2 linked regions of the Lonchura striata genome follow. The protein of the gene in region 2 interacts with the protein of the main gene of each other region in a pairwise test. Links are inferred from orthologs where the notes say so. Each region holds a gene or a part of one and is shown on either strand. Other genes may lie near its edges.

Region 1 (8,166 bases), on a different chromosome or scaffold from region 2:
AACACAAGACACTAAGGTGAAATGCTCTGATGAAGGAAAATGGCTCACTGCAATTTGAACTTGTAGCATGGTGAGGGAAGAAAAGTTTTCAGGGTCTGTAAGTTTAGAGAAAAGGTAGAAGAACCTACTAATAATCTAATTGTAAAGCAGACAGATATTCAAACTCCCCGTGCAGTGAAAAAACTCTTTCTAGAAACCAGAGATGCATACAATTTGTTGTAATTCAGAGCAGTACTGGAAGCAGAGGATAGCAAGAAGAAATTGTTCACAAATATATTTTACTTTTATTCTGTCTTACTTAGTGTTGATGAAATGGAATGTTGTAAATGAAATTACTCTAATTATAAGGAAAAAAGCTTAAGCAACCAAGTACATTTTCCATGCAATGCCTTTTTGCCCTGTGGGCCTCAGTGTTAAATACTCTTACGCATATATTAAGCGCAAGTTGAAAAAGAGACCAGAGAACTTTACAGAAAAATCACTGAGTATCATTAAATACAGTCTCGAAAGGGGCTCGGGACATGCTTTGGAGGCTGGCAAGCACAGGGAGAAACTAAAAGTAAGAAAAATCACTCTACACCTGCCCTGTCTTCACATCTTTTCTCTAGGCACTCCTGGCTGCTCTGAACGAAGATACCAAACTGGTGGTACTTTTGATCTGAATCACGCACAGCTGTCTTTACCTGTTCCTATGTACTTGTTTAAGTCATTCTTGTAGAATGTTTGGATGAAGAATATTACATACCCGTGCAATACACTGAAATGTTTCAGTCATGCTGTAGTACAAGCTGAAGTGTGGACCAGCTTTCCGATAGTGGTTAAAGTTATTAAGGTTAAATTTAGATTTTGTCTGAATTTAAATGCCTAAAGGCTAATCACAATTATTGATAGTGCTAAACATATCCTTGACAACCTTATACAATGATTTCAACAATGTCCTGACTTAGGTTACAGATAACTCAAGTTATCTATGGTTTAACTCTTAAGTTTTCACTTAGTTATTGACTGTATGAGTTAAATTTATTATCAGACTAATTTAAGTGTTCTAAAATAATGTCATTTCTAGAAAAAATAAGCTTCCAAATTTCACTAATGAAAATTAAATAAATGAATTAATGTTGAAAATAATATTCCAGTTTTCATCCAAATCAAGGGGGAAAAATATTGAAACATTATTCATGCAGAAATTCACCGTGGTTTTTTTTTAATAGAAGTTACTTGTGTTGCATTACTTCTTAGAGTTGGGGGGGAAATATAAGGAAAATCATTCAGCAAATGATTCATTACATTTTGAAGGATTTTACTGCGCTAGTGAAAATATAGATTGTGGTTTGATTATGGATACTCTAGTGGTTTCAGTGCACATTATAACAGTGTCGATTTTTTTAAAAAGGCAGGTGTTCATCAGAACATTATGATATATCCTCTTAAATAGCTACCCTGATGCAAAGACCAGCAAAGGAAATATCCAAAGTTTAACCAGATATAGAATGACCCCTTCAGGGCTTTAAAGCCTGCTGTGAAATGTATGTGACACCCTCTTCAATATGAAGTAGGAAACAAAGAAAACAGATATCCAAATCCTCTTTGGTTACTCAGCATCTTTTTCTTAGGCAAACTTGCTAAAAATTGGGACTTTCTTCTCTTGTTCTTAATCTAATAGCTTGAATATATCTTTCATATTCTCCTCTTCATATTTATGAATCTCCTAGGAGTAGTTAGCTGCTTTAACTTCACAGAAAGAGTCAACATTATTCACAAGAAAAGATCCCAAAATTGCAGATGAGTTAGGAGAAATGTTACAAAAATTCAAATGCTACATGTTACTCTTGCAATCTACTTTTAAGTCTACTTCTAGGAAAACTAAATCTAACCTGACTTTTAAAGCACGTAGTCCTGTACTTAGGAGTATTAAATTTCAAGATGCAACCTCTACTATCTGTAATCAGACTGGTAATTTTTCATCACATTTTCTGCAGAATTCTCACCCACTGCAGCCTATCAGATCCCAAGCCAGTCTCTCACTGAATTACTCTGATTTACTAAATTAATTTATTTACCAATGTCCTAATTAAAGAGGAAAAACGAAACAAAAAAAATTGTATATTAAAGTGGTAAGTACTACATGGTGTAGCAGAATATAAAATTTATTTCTTCATCTGCTACTTAGTGCATTTAACAAATAAATCTATTAAGCATTAACCATTGTAATAGCAGTATTTCTAAAACAAGCTAAGACAATAATTTCCTACTCCACTTCCTCCACTCCTTTTGAAATTTATGTATGGGCAGCAGAAAAGAAATTACTTTCTTCTTTGTTTTAAGCAACAGATCTTCTCCAATTTTAGAAGCTAATGCCTAGTTAAGGAAAACAGGACACAAGCCTGACCCAAATCCAGTACAAAAAGCTCAGAACAGCCTCACTTGTTGCCACCCTTAAGGTCAAATATGAATCCATTACACCCAAGTAGATACTATGTATTATTTTCCCTCATTGTTGGGGCCCATTTTCAAAGTCTCAGCCATTTCAAATAAGATCTGATAAAGTATTGTACAGCATGCCTTCCATTTAATTAAGCGGGCATTAGCTGCATGAAAGCCCAGGCATATGCTTACCTTTAGATAATATTGCAACCCCACCAGATTCAACAAAATCTCTTCTATAGGTAACAAAAACACTTCTATGTGATCAGGCCTTTGTTATTGCTATTGCCTAAACCAGCTCTGGGTCACATGTAAATCCAGTGCAGCAGTCTACTTTGGATTATTAAGATAACATTTGGAAAAGGTGAACACTTGGTGTTATGATTGAGCACAAGAGGCCATCTGATCCGATTAACAGAATTTATTTAATTCATTTAAGAGAGTATAAAAAGTTGAATCTTTAGAACACATAAAATTTGATTGGAAAAACCATCTTACATGTTAAATACACTCCATCAGTTTTGCCTTCCACTTCAATTTTTCATCTTTTACAAAGATCACTTGTATCTCTTTGCTATAAAAATAACCAAAACATACAAAACACTAAAACATAAACAAACCCAAAACAAAATCTCCAAGCCCGAACAAACAAAGAAAACCCAAAGAACCAAACCATAAATTAAACATCTTATTGACCTAGCCCAGTCAGAGGTTGGGTTAATTTTGGTGAGATGTTCCCCTCCCCCTTGAACCTTCTAAAATCAGTATCTCTTCTAAACATTTGATACCAGTGGCAAACAGCTATTTAAAACTAATTTCCAAATTTCATCTTATTCCTGTAGAACCAGGAGAGCTTCCAGAGAGATTTCCTTATAGAAAGAACTTGGCCCACTGGTGATTGGGCAGAAAGCTGGAATTCAGCACAGGGTAATGGAGACCGATTACTCTAGCACAGCTACATAGTATTGGTTTGTGACAACATTAATTGAGAGCTACTTTGAGCATTTGCCTCAAAACGTGTGAAAGCCTCTTCAACAACACACCATTCTCAAAACTTCCACAAGCAAAGTACAAGCTCTTGTCAAAAAGGCAAGAGCTGCTGCTGCTATGACATACACTCAACAACTTCCTGTGCAAAAATGCCACAAATGATAGTCGCAACCTAATCCGCCTCCTCAAAAAAAAAAAAAACCAAAAAACCCCCCAAAAAAACAACCAGAAAAGCTACAGTATTCTCGATCCTTTGTCTTCTAAAACTCAGACACCGAGGGACAAGGAGCCGGGCGCCAAGGGGGTGGGGGGGCACCACGCGTGCGAGGGAGGAGGGAGGGTGTGGCCTCTCCTGTCCCATCCCCCAGTGGGGCTATTTAAAGAGAACGGGATTACCTCGGACCCGCTTTATCGACGTCGGGAGCCCGGCTTCGCCGTCGAGAAGAAGTGACCGCCTGAGCTTAGTTTTTCTCAAAGAAGTTCATACGGGTTTTGTTTGAAAACCTTATTAAGTGTTAGCTATGGTGAGTAAACGCCGGAGGTGAGCCATGCTGGGGCAGTGGGGCAGGGGCGTTTAAATGCCGAGCCGCCGGGCGGGCTTCTGCTGGGTTATGTGCTTTGAGGCGGGGCCCCCGGCGGGCAGCGGAGCGGAGAGTGGAGTACTAACTTTGTCGGGTTGTTCTTGGGGTGAGGGATGGGAATACTCTCAGCTGGAGCAGGGTCCCCTTGTAACGCGGCGACGGGGCTGAACCCCTGAGGGCTAGTAGCGCTATAACTGTCTTGAGGGTTTTACCACCTTGCGAGACGAGCGGTTACGGTGAAGGAGGGAATACCGCAATTGCCAGGCCAGGGGCTTGTGCAGGGGAACCTCTGGCTCGTAGCTATCGGTGTTACGGTCTGCAGGAGGCTTGGCGTCGGAACACGCTTCACACCCTCGAGCGGCCATTTTGTGGCGGTGCTAAAATAGCGCTGTCCCGCACGGCTGGGCGGGCATCCCTCCGCCTGCCCGTGGCGGGCGGTGTACCCGGTGTGCGTAGGCTCCGGCAGTACCCCTTGTCTGGGGCTTGCGAACAGCTTTCATTGTTCTCAGCGCCAAAGCTCCCCGCCCGCGCCCCGTCGGCGCCGGGCAGCCCGGGTGTGAGGCTGTAAAATGGCGGCGGCACGCGAGCGGCGCCTCGCCGGCCCGAGGTCCAACGCCCCCCCCCCGAGGGCGGGCGTCGCCCGGAGTGCTGCGGGCTCCTCGGCTCGCCCCAGCGTGCTGCTTTGCCGTTTGTTCTTTTTGTTTGAGAAACATGATTTGCCACTGTAGCGCTGGCGCTTCACGCTATACGAGTAAGGCGGTGGAGCTTTTTTTTTTTATTGAGTTTTTTGTTTTATGCCGGAGAAGCTGTGCCTAGCGCGCGGTGCTGGCCCGAGAGCTCCGCTTAGTGCCCAGCGGGGAGGCTGCGGCCGCAGCCATGTGCTTCCCGCGGGCTCCGGCGCTGGCATGGCGACTGCGCGCACTGTCCGCCCAGCGGGACGTGGGTCACGGGGTTAAATGCTTCAATTTAAAAATAAAACCAAAAAAACTCAAAAAACCTAATGCTTACTTTAAACAGAGAATGTGCTGAGGCCAGGGGAGAAGCCTGAGAAATCATGAGCTTTTGTGGCCAAAAAAAAAAAGTGAACGTTTTTCTTTCCTGGATGAGCATAAAACTGAGTGAAGTTTGTAACACGCGTGGGTAGATGTTGGAACTCAAAATGTCCCTCAGACATTTTTAGAGGTTCCAGGCCTTGGTCAGAAGCATTTGAGACCCTGGCCGGCAGCTGCAAACAGCTGTGATTTTGAGTTTGAGCCATGGAATGAGTTACCAACTTTGAAGGTAGAGCAAGCAGTCACAAAGGGATAGATAGCATAGTAAAAGTAGCTACAAAACAGAGGGGAATTTTTTTTAGTATTGTACGGGGGACGGGGGGTTTTTACTTTGTACATGGGGGTCAGAAGTTCTAAGATGGAGGAAAGTGGGCTGATCCTGTTCTTCCTCCTTCTTCCTTGCCTCCATGTTCTCGGTGATGCTGGCACTCACAGATTGGTTTAGAGTAAAAAAGTACTTTGTTATATAGGTAGTAGGTATTGGGGGGTAAACTATAAACATGTAATACGTAATATATCATAAAAGATAGCAGCAGCCCTGGGCCGGGGGGAGAAGAAGACAGCAGACAGTGAGGGTGTCAGGGTGTGTGTCTCTGCTTGGGCCGCTGACCAAACAGCCGCACCCCGCGAAGACAATCTTTTAGATAACTAACAATAAACTGCCTTGAAACCAAACAACAAGAGGCTGCAGAGTTTTTCTTTGGAAGCACGGGTTGAAGGAGAGACTTTACCACCACACGAGACCCCAGACCAAGCCCAGGGTTTTCTCACAGGTAGGCAGGTATTTCCTCCACCTAGTCCTTTTCTACCTTTTCTTTTGCCAAAACTCTTAACTAGTCTTCTGACTGCTGTAAGGAGGACCTTTATACCGGTTTCCCCTCATCAGTTTAAACTTCATATTTGCAGGAATAATAGGGAGCAAACAGATTAATTTTCTTTTTTGACGAGAGAAGAAAAAAACCTGTTAATTCAGATAGTGCTATGTTGGTAAAATTATTTGGCTTTAGATAAGACAGTAATTTTTTTGAATTGGCAAACATTTTCCATGATAGTACTGAGGACTTGAAAAGTGGCTTTGGAGGGAAATTTTCTTTTTTGTTCTAGGAGAATTTTACCACTGTGCATTTTTATTTCCTTTTCAAGTTCTAGGAAATATGTATATTAATCTTACTTTTGATGTTTCCCAGCTTGCCAGAATGCCTAAGTAGTCTGTTTATTCTTTCTTGCAGGTACATAATGTGTGAGAGTGTTAAATCAGTTAATTTTCTTTGAAAATTCTGCGTCATTAGTGTGAGGCAGGAACACTGCACTTCCATGGTGGCCAAGGCCATGTGTGACAGGTGTACCAGCAGCATCTGTGGCTATCACCAGTGTCCATGGCTACCAGCTTCCTTCAGCTGGTGCTGGCTGGGCACCTCTTATGAGAGCCGTTTCCTGTTTTAGGGCTGCCAAGAACTTGCACGACAAAGTGAATACCACTTCTAGCTTGGTTCACTGACACATCCAGAAAGAAAAAAGTAGAAGCAAGAGTTAGGTCAGCTTGAGGAGTTATCATCTCAGATTTCAGTTCTAATGTCCTTTAGCTGAGTATGCAGCCAAACAAAAGCAGCATACCAGGTGGGTGAAAAACTGCTCACTTCATGTTAATCTTCCTGCCAGATTTTGTAGAGCCAGTTTAATTTGAACTGAGAAGTGTTAGAACCAATGAATGGTCCATTTGTGCTATTGAAATTCCTCATCCCCTGCTATATCTGCAAGAAGGTGCAGGCATTCTGGTGTCTTAAAATGTAATCTAGTTGACTAAAATAAGTATTTTTGTTTAAATTTTTTAGGCAGCGCATGTGGAAACCCAGCACTCAGACGCCATGGAGGGCAGTGCCTATTCAGCAGCAGTCAGTCAGGGCTATGTTTTACCAGAAGGAAAAATCATGCCAAACACAGTCTTTGTTGCTGGAATTGACTTAAGGGTATGTATACACTTTTAGTAGTTCAAAATTAATAAAGGGTGTACATCAGTGGAAATTTTGGTCCTGTTTGAGTGTGGATTTTTTTATTACTTTGTGGTGGTGGGGTTCTTTTTATTTTTTCTTTGTGTGTATATTTGCCAATCTTGAAGGTATTGAAGTGTTATAGGAGATTTCTGGAACATGTTTAGTTCTTATGGTAGTGGAAAATAATTTTAAGAAATGGTACTCTCTGCTTTAAATCAGTTCTAAGCACTTGAATGTTTTTGGAGATGTTTAAGACCTTGTTTTCTTGTAGGTGAATGAAGGAGAAATTCGGAGTGTCTTTGAACAATATGGTACTGTGAAGGAGGTGAAGGTCATCACTGACAGATCTGGTATTTCAAAAGGGTGGGTAGAATATGAGTAGTTGTTTTAAGTTGCTGCTTATGTGGACAGCATTCTGTAATAGGCGATATGAGCAGATACTTAGCAACACACTTGACATGTATAAGCCTTAATAGTAGATGCAGTTTTCTGTTGTGGTGAGTTAAGACTGTGAAACTAGTAAATCTATACTGCCTCCAACTAAATCTGTATAATCTTACAAAGAATAGCATTAATTTTCTGACTTTGGCCTCTCTGTTCAAGGAAAAGAAGCTCACTGTCACTCAGCCGTTGGAAGCAAAGCCTAACTCATGTGATGCTTATACAGTCAATGCTTTTATAAGACTGTTCTGTTGGCTGGAGTAGTTAAAAATCTGGGGACAGTTCAGGATGATTAAGAGAATTAAGATGGCTTATTTAGGGCAGTGGCTGTGCTCTCTCTTGACACTTGTGAATAAGTTCTAGAGTAAAACAGGCCGAGTTTCTTTGCGTGAAGAGTGAAACCAAGTATGTGAACAAAGTTGAAACAAAGGAAATTCCCTTATATATATGTAGAAGAGTTCTGGATTACTGTGGGGAAACCCTTAAATAAGATGAAGGACCTTACCCTGTTGAGTTCTGAGGAAGCCATCCCAGTTTTGAGCTTTTCCCTCCTGAGGAGAAGGAGATGGATCCTCTTGAAGTTCCTTCCAGCCCAGTTTTTCTTAGATTCTATGCTTAGATCGTAGAATGTCACATCTTTTTCTTCAGCATATGTAGCAATGGAAGAGCTGGAAATAAAATTCATTT
Region 2 (7,957 bases):
TTGTGTTAAATGGGAAATTTGAAGGATAAGTAACTCAGAAGAGTTCTTCCCACACATGGGATTAAAAGCTTAAAACATGTAGCTTTAAACATTAAAATTAGACAATGGATGCAGTTGCATAATGTGGGTCAAATGTTTCCATATCAGAAGAGAGGGTTGAGACAGGCTGCGAAAGATTGAGGGAATTCAGACAACAGTATCAGTACAAGGAGAAGCTGCAGAGACTGAACAGGTTAGTGGTCAAAAGCAATAGAACAGAAGATCAGCTCTGACTTAGCACATGAATGGCTGTGGCAGGGAAAGGCTGTGCTTGTGAAGCAATGGTGAGGCAAAACGATGCATGGATGGGAAAGTCCTTCTGTAAAAAGAGTCTGCAGCTCCTAAGCCTGTTTCTCTGAGGCTCTGGGGACAGATTAGCCAAGAGGGAGGCTTGGCTCACTGGGGCAGAGTTTTTACTGCAGTAAACCCTCCTATGTGTTATGGTAAAACATGAAATACAAACAAATTCCTACAGCAATACATCTAGCAGCATGTCTAGGGACTGTAGCATTTCAGACTCATTGATTTTATTAATTAAAGTCTCTTGACAAAATGGGATGCAGAACCCAATGCATCGGGTGCCTAGATTTGGTATGCAGTGGTGATGTGGGAAAGTTAATTTCAGGATGGGATCTGCTCCTGCAAATGCATGAAACATCCAGATCATCATATTTTACCAAGGTGTAGCTCACAAGGGACATGCTAAGGATATAAAGCACCATTCCAAGGCCCTGCTCTGGCACTGGGACAGACAGCTCCAATGGCTCCCGAGCTGCAAGGCTGTCCCTCAGCAAAGGTGTAGGTAGTTAACTGCGACTGTTTTTTCAGAGAACTCAGAGGTTCACACATCCCTGACTGCCCCTCTTAAGATGCAGAATGACAGCCAGACTGGGGATTAGAGAGGGGATAGTTAGATGTGGGGTTTGAACTAGAGGGCCATTAAATGCCTTCCAACTTAAACAACTCTATGCTTCTCTGACAGCAAGGCCATTAAGCAGAAGATCTGAGATAAAGATATTGACTTCTTCCCTGCAGAACAGACCAGCTGCAGCAGAGGGCAGCCAAAGTAGGCTGCTGATCTGGGGACTCTTTCCAAAGAAGTCATGCCTGTAAGTCTTGAGCAAAGGAATCAAATTTGGGTGGTCCCCCGTACTGGGAGTGAAGGATGTCACACACCTTGTTTTAAAAGAGTGCAAGATTTAGCAGGGACCTTTTTTTGTGGAGATGGTTTGAAAGTGTCTACCACATCTAGTTGTTTCATTTTCATGGCAGAATACCTTTGTTTTAATTAATACAGGTTAAGTATTTGCTACCCTGATAGATCCAACAGCACTGTTTGTCAAAACTGCTGCTGGGACATTGAGGATACTTATTCACAGAAAAACAAAGCATTACTGTGTTAGAGGAGTTTATCTGAAATGTCTGCAGTGTACACAGAGCACAGACAGCTGTTAGCATATCATTAGCAAGAGGAATACCTAGGAAAAACATTTTGTAATGGACTGATATCAAGTAAAACTATCTAAAGCATTAAGTATTTTTAAAGTTTCCACTCAGAACAAAGGTCAGAGAGAAAGTAATTTCTTGAACTATTTTAGCATAGTCAAAAACTTTAGTGCCATTATTAAATTGTGAGATGTGTGGTGGTGGAATTGTTTTATTCTTTAAAAAAAAAAAACTTTAGAAAATAATCAAATAATTGTATTTATCAGATCAAATCCCAAACTGATTGCACTTAAACATTTTTCTGTTTCATGATCAGTTTGGGTTTTTCTGAGAAAAAGCACACTGAGAAACACATTGATGTCAAAATCATTCAAGCTCATGCTTATCAAATGCATGTTGAGTTCTTTGTGAAGATTTGATGCTTTATACAAACACTGATTATAATTATTGAGGACAAACAGAGTCCCCAGAAGGGTAAGAGCTGGAGAGCTGGTATAATGTAGACCAGCTGCTGTAAGTGTTCAGGATGCCAAGAGCATAACAGGGTTTCCTTCAGTCCCAGCTGGTCTGCATGAAGGGAAGGGCTGGCTTGGAGGCTGTGACTTAGAGGCCTTCCCTCCTCAGTAAGCACAGGAATTGGCTTTTCAGCCCTGCAGCCTCCCTGGAGACAGCCCCAGGTGGCAGTGGGATGGGACACTGGGGATCACAGAGATTAGCCACGTGAGTGGCAGCAGGCTGCAGACATCTGAGTATTTAGCTGACTAGTATTAGACTCAAGAAGTCATTTTCATTTCTTGCAGAAATGTTTCTATCTTTATCAGGAGCTGGGAACTTTTATGTTCTTAACCATGTCTATAAATACTGAAAACAGTGAGGATTTTCTCCTTTGAGACATCTCTATTTTTAAGAACACAGTTGGTAGTCACAGACATCTCATCCACACAAGTGCTGTGCCAGCAGTAGCACCAGTACAGGTGCTATTCCTGCAGCCCAGCTCGCCTGGAGTCACTGCCACAGGCAGGGCTGGCCTCCTCCCTGCCAGCACATCGAGGGGTCAGCAGCACCAATGTGCACTGCCCACAGGGCCCAGAGCCAGGCTTGGCTGAAGGGTTGAGCTGTGGATGGCACCTGCCACTGTTTCCTGCACTGGAGCATTCTCTAACCAGGCTCTTAAAGAATGGCTAAAAAGGCAAAATAGGGGATTTTCTTGTGTTTTAAAATGTCATTGACATGCAGAGATCCCTCTAATTTTTAGGGGCTGCTAAATATGCAGAATTTATGCTCATGTTGAGGTTATCAACACGCAGTGCTGGCAATGCCTACCTGCACCAGAACTGTATTTACCAACAGCACCTCCCTGCTGTACCAGTGATCCCATCTTTAACTCTCTCATGGGAAGGGCATAATTGGCTCTTTGCCTAAAATCACCACACAGTAACTATTAGCACAGCAGTTAACTAATAAATTAGTAACTGCCGAGATGCATTTTCATTTGGTGTAACACACACATGCAAACGTACATGGGTGGCGTGGGGTGTTACCAGGGACCACTGGGGACCCCTCAAACAGGCCTCGCCTTCCCTTTGTCTCCCAGGCCCCCAGGTGGGTGCCACTTCCCACTGCCACGCTTCCTGAAAAGCCTAAAATCACAGGATCACAGAATTGTTAGGGTTGGAAGGGACCTCTGGAGATCATTTAGTCCAGCCCCTGCCAAGGCAGGTTCACAAGAATTTGTCCAGGTGGGTTTTGAATGGAGATGAAGATTCCATGGCATCCCTGGGGAGCCTTTTCCAGTGCTCTGCCATGTCAATTTAAAGTTCTTCTCCATGTTCAGGTGGAACTTCTTGTATTTTAGTTCATTGCCACTGCTCTTGTCACTGGGCACCCCTTAAAAGTCTGGCACCAGCCAGGTGCTCCAGGCTGGAGGAAACTGAGAGGAGACCTCATTTCAGTCTTCAGCATCCTCATGGGGGAAGTGGAGGGGCAAGCAGCAATCTCTCCTCTCTGGTGACCAGTGACAGGAACCAAGGGAGTGGCTTGAAGATGAGTCAGGGGATGTTTAGCTTACGTATCAGGGAAAGGTTTCACCCAGAGAGAGGTTGGCTGGACACTGCAACAGGCTCCCCAGGACAGTGGTCACAGCACCAAGCCTAAGAGAGTTCAAGAAGCACTTGGACAACATTTTAAGGCACATGGTGTGACTCGGGATGTCTGTCCCGTGCGGGGCCAGGAGGTGGACTTCTTGATCCTGATGGGTGCCTTCAAACTCAGCAAATTCTATGATTCTGTGATCCTCTTGGCACCTGCCTTTGACATACTTATATGTATTAATGAGATCCGCTCTCGGTTTTCTCTTGACTGAACAGGCCCAGCTTCCACAAAGTCCTCTCATACGGGACATGCTCCTGACCGCACATCATCGTTGTGGCCTCCACTGGACCCCCTCCAATAGTTCCCTGTCGTTCTGGCACTAGGAGCCCAGAGCTGGCGGCAGTAAATGCAGGAGAGCACAAGCACACCAGGCCAGCGCTACTGACGCTGCCGGCGAGCAGGACAGGGACGGGGACAGGGACGGGGATGGGGACGGGGACTGGGATGGGGACAGGGACAGGGACGGGGACAGGGACGGGGATGGGGACAGGGACGGGGACGGGGACAGGGACGGGGATGGGGACGGGGACACCCCTCCGCCGTGCCCGCTGAGGGGCGGCGGGCGGCGCATGCGCGGCGGAAGGGGCCGGGGGCCGCCGCCTCCTCCCTCCGCCTCCCCGCGGGCCGGGCCGGGGCGCGCAGGCGCGGCGGGGCCGGGGCGGGCAGGGGCGGCGGGGCCGAGCGGCGGCGGCGGCCGGGGGGAGCGGCCGGGGAGGTTCAGCCGCGCTCTCGCTGTCCCTGTCCCTCCGCGCGATGTTGTTGTGAGCCCCGAGCGGGCGGGAGGGGAGGCAGGAAGGAGCGGCGCCCAGCGGGAGCGGCAGGAGGAGGAGGAAGGGGCCGGTGGGCGGGCAGGCGTGTCCCAGCGGCCGCTCCGGCTCCGTCGCCGCCAGCCAGCCCGTGAGTAGCCCCGGGGGGCCGGCGCCGCGCTGGGAAGGCCGCGGGCGGGCGGAGCGGGCGGGCGGGCCCCCTTCCTCCAGCCCCCTTTTGTCTGCGGGTTCGGCTGCGCGCCGAGGGAGGGGAGAGGGAGGGAAGGAGGAGGAGGAGGAGGAGGAGGAGGAGGAGGAGGAGGAGGAGGAGGAGGAGGGAGGGGGCCATGTTGTGGCAGGTCACCGGGCGGCGCGCGGCCTGCGCGGCGGCCTCGCCGCCTTTGTGTCCGCCCGGGAGCGGCGCCGAGGTGGGGACGCAGCGAGCGCCGTGAGGGGCGGCGGCGCCGGGGGAGCGAGGAGGGAGGGAGGGAGGGAGGGGCGGCATTGTGCGGTCGGGGAGCCGAGCCCGGCCCGGCGGGGCGTGCGGGGCCGCGCTGCTGCCCGGGGCAGCGCCGGGGCCCGGGGCAGGCGGGGGCGGACGCAGCCCCGGGGCTGCAATGGACTCGGGCTCGGGGGGAGCGGAGACAGGGGCGGCGCTCGGACCCCACGGGCCACTGCGTGGCTGGGATCACACGGGCTTTGTTCGAACGTGCGAAAAACTTGTGTTGTTTTTTTAGTGCTCTTAAAGATAATAACCGCTTCCTGAGAGTGCAGCGAGAAGGCCAAATGCCTTTGGTAAGCTGGTGGCACACAATGAAGCGGTAGGGTTTGATTCCACTTCAAATCTGCCTGTGCAGACCACAAAAACAAAAAGTTGAGGGAAATGCCTCCTGTCCTGAGTGGATCGTGCCTACAGAGAACAGTTTGGGGTTAATCTCCGTGGCAGTTATTGTGCAAAGATTTTCGGGTTTTGTTTCGGCATTGTTTTCTCGTGTATTTCCTAAGGTCAGATCCTTATTTCTTTGAGAGAAAATATTTTTGGGACGGTTTATATTCTTCTGGCTTACAGTTTGTAGCAAGATGGCTTAATACCAAAATGTGCAGCATGTTTGAGATGTGATAAAGAGCCTCTTATCACCTGATTTCGGGATGCTTTTTTTCTGAGCAATTAGATGTGTATGAGCAATGTGAATCAGTAAAACTCTTAATTCGCCTAATATTCCCTACATATGCTACAGTTAACAAAATACTTTGAGGTTTATTTTACTTTCTCTTTGTTGCATCTCCACTGAGAGATCAGGCCTTCATAGTTTCAGTAAGCTAATGGTGTAGCTCTTCAGGTATGTGGGATATGAATGCATTCAAAATATAAACTATGCCATGTTACCATTTTTACACATAAAGCGTAGTTTTGTGTTATATTTAGTCACGTCTAGGTTTAAAACCAGATGTTAACAACAGTCGCAGTTTTATTGAGAAGCTGAGGGAAATGCTGCCTGCTTTGCTCAACAACTGTGTCAACGCGAGTATAAATATGCTAGGGAAGTGGGAGAAGGAAACTCGCATTAAAAGGGAAATGCTAATTTAGTGGTGGTGTCGTTTGGGTTATATGGGTGGAAATGACACCAGATCACCTGACAGTTTCTGAAGTGTTCAGAGTTGAAAATTTGGAATTTGGCCCAGCAGAATGGTTAGTAGGCAAATGCATGTGAGAAACTGCTTGATAATGCACATTCTGCAGTATATTATGTGGATGTTGTACAAAGGAAAGTCCATGTTATTTGAATACTCTGTTTTCTGCATTAATAACAATGGTTTGATTTTTTTCCCCTCGTAGTATCACTGTAGTAATAAATCTTCTATTTGAGGCATGTTGGCACAGCGCTGAGGCAATTGTAATTGTATCTGGTATCGTGATTGAGCTAATAGTGCAAGCAGTTGGCTGAAAGAGCTGGGCTTGCATGTCTTTTTATAAGAAGATGCCTCTTGTTATGACAGTGTATATTAAATCTTACAGTGGATTGTGGAGTACACTGAAGGCTTTATGTAGTTGTTTTCCTTGGGTGTTTCTCTGCAATGTTCTCGGTGGGCCAGATGTTGCAGGTGTGTTACAGAACGTCAGCTTGCTGAAACTGTGAACTAGATTTGATTTTTAAGCAGCACTTTCTAGTTCACTTTTAGATATTGCCCCCTCTCCTTCATTTAGTGATACTTGAGTGTGTATTGAATAGTCAGCATGTGTAGAAGCATTCTCCTTGATAATTTAATCTTTCTTTTTACAGTGGTTTCCAAAATTCCAGAATTGTTAATCTAAGTTTTTTACACAGAGGCAAGTAAGCCAATAGAAGTTTTGAATTCCTACTTGTATGTCTTCCTGCTTATTTTTCTGAATGTGGAATTATATGAAAATTAACTGTCTATTGCACTAAAAGGAAACCTAAATTCTCTTGGATGTTAAATTCTATGTTGAGAATCTCCTGTAAAATGAGCATTAATACATTGGATTTTCTTTTTACAAAGTTTGTTAGAAACTCTACAGAGGAAACGCATAAGACAGTAGACATAATGTATAAATGCTTCTCATTGTGTGTATCAAAAATGTAGATGTGTATGAGAGTTATCAATCTTCTTTATCTTCAAGTAATTTAAGTGAAAATGTTTGCCCCATTTAATTGCAATTTCCCCACCCATAACATAACTCTTGTCTTGCTTATTCCATGTAAGCCAATGCCTAGGCCTTTGTCTTGGCAATGAGGAAAGAAATCTTTCCTTTAAAACCTCCTGTAACAAATATTACCAATTGTGTAGTGTTGCTAGTAATGAAGTTGGAGGCACTTCACAGTCATGTAGTGGAAAACCATTTTAAATTACATCAAAACACGTAAAGGATTCAGTTCTAGCTGCTTCGGTGTCATTTCAAACAAGTTATATAAAATTCATACAATGGTTGCATGCTGAAACTTTACAGCAAGATTTAGTTTGGATCTCACTCAGAGTACCTGCTGTGGCTTTTAGAATAGTAGGCAAGAGCTGGTATGTGAAATGTTTAGCTTACAAATAAAGGCTACTTATCTCTAAAGATTATATTTCATTATTGCTTAGCAGATAGTTTTTCTAAACATGGTTATTTAAGAGTAGTTGTAGGTACGTAGAAGAAATGCATCAGAAGAGGTTATGACAACCATCTTAGGAGTTCAGAAGGAAATGCCTAACTCCATAGCAAAACCACCTCAGTAATAAGCCACATTTGACTTTTTTGCCAGTTCTCTGTATATGCATTTATTTACACTAAACTTGAGTGCTGATATGATCTACTGTCCTCTGCAGGCTATGCTAAAAGCACATCTGCAGCCTTTCTAGGCAGGCTTATTTTCTGACACCACATATTTGTGTACCTTGGACTACGTAATCTGGTCTACGTTTTGTAGTTGTGATTATTTTAAATTTAATTTTCCATACAACTCCAGGGTAGATTACCTCTTGCTTTATTGAGGTGTTGGCAGAAGTATCAGAGGTAATAGGTCTGGTTGTCCATCTTTCCATATAATGCTTTCAGTATGTAATTCCTAGTGGAA

Evidence for each region. The genes of interacting proteins can lie anywhere in the genome.
Region 1: the proteins of PUM2 (region 2) and DAZL interact in a two-hybrid assay, tested with the Homo sapiens proteins (2 studies listed by BioGRID and IntAct). The link is inferred for Lonchura striata from reciprocal best matches to the Homo sapiens genes PUM2 and DAZL.

What each region holds. Positions count from the first base shown.
Region 1 is NC_134603.1:121,531,880-121,540,045, forward strand, and holds the start of DAZL (deleted in azoospermia-like), read left to right. Parts: upstream 1-4,564; coding exon 4,565-4,682; intron 4,683-4,723; coding exon 4,724-4,746; intron 4,747-6,879; coding exon 6,880-7,014; intron 7,015-7,309; coding exon 7,310-7,401; intron 7,402-8,166. UniProt on the Homo sapiens protein: RNA-binding protein, which is essential for gametogenesis in both males and females. Plays a central role during spermatogenesis.
Region 2 is NC_134605.1:104,350,270-104,358,226, reverse strand, and holds the start of PUM2 (pumilio homolog 2), read left to right. Parts: upstream 1-4,718; 5' UTR 4,719-4,729; coding exon 4,730-4,810; intron 4,811-7,957. UniProt on the Homo sapiens protein: Sequence-specific RNA-binding protein that acts as a post-transcriptional repressor by binding the 3'-UTR of mRNA targets.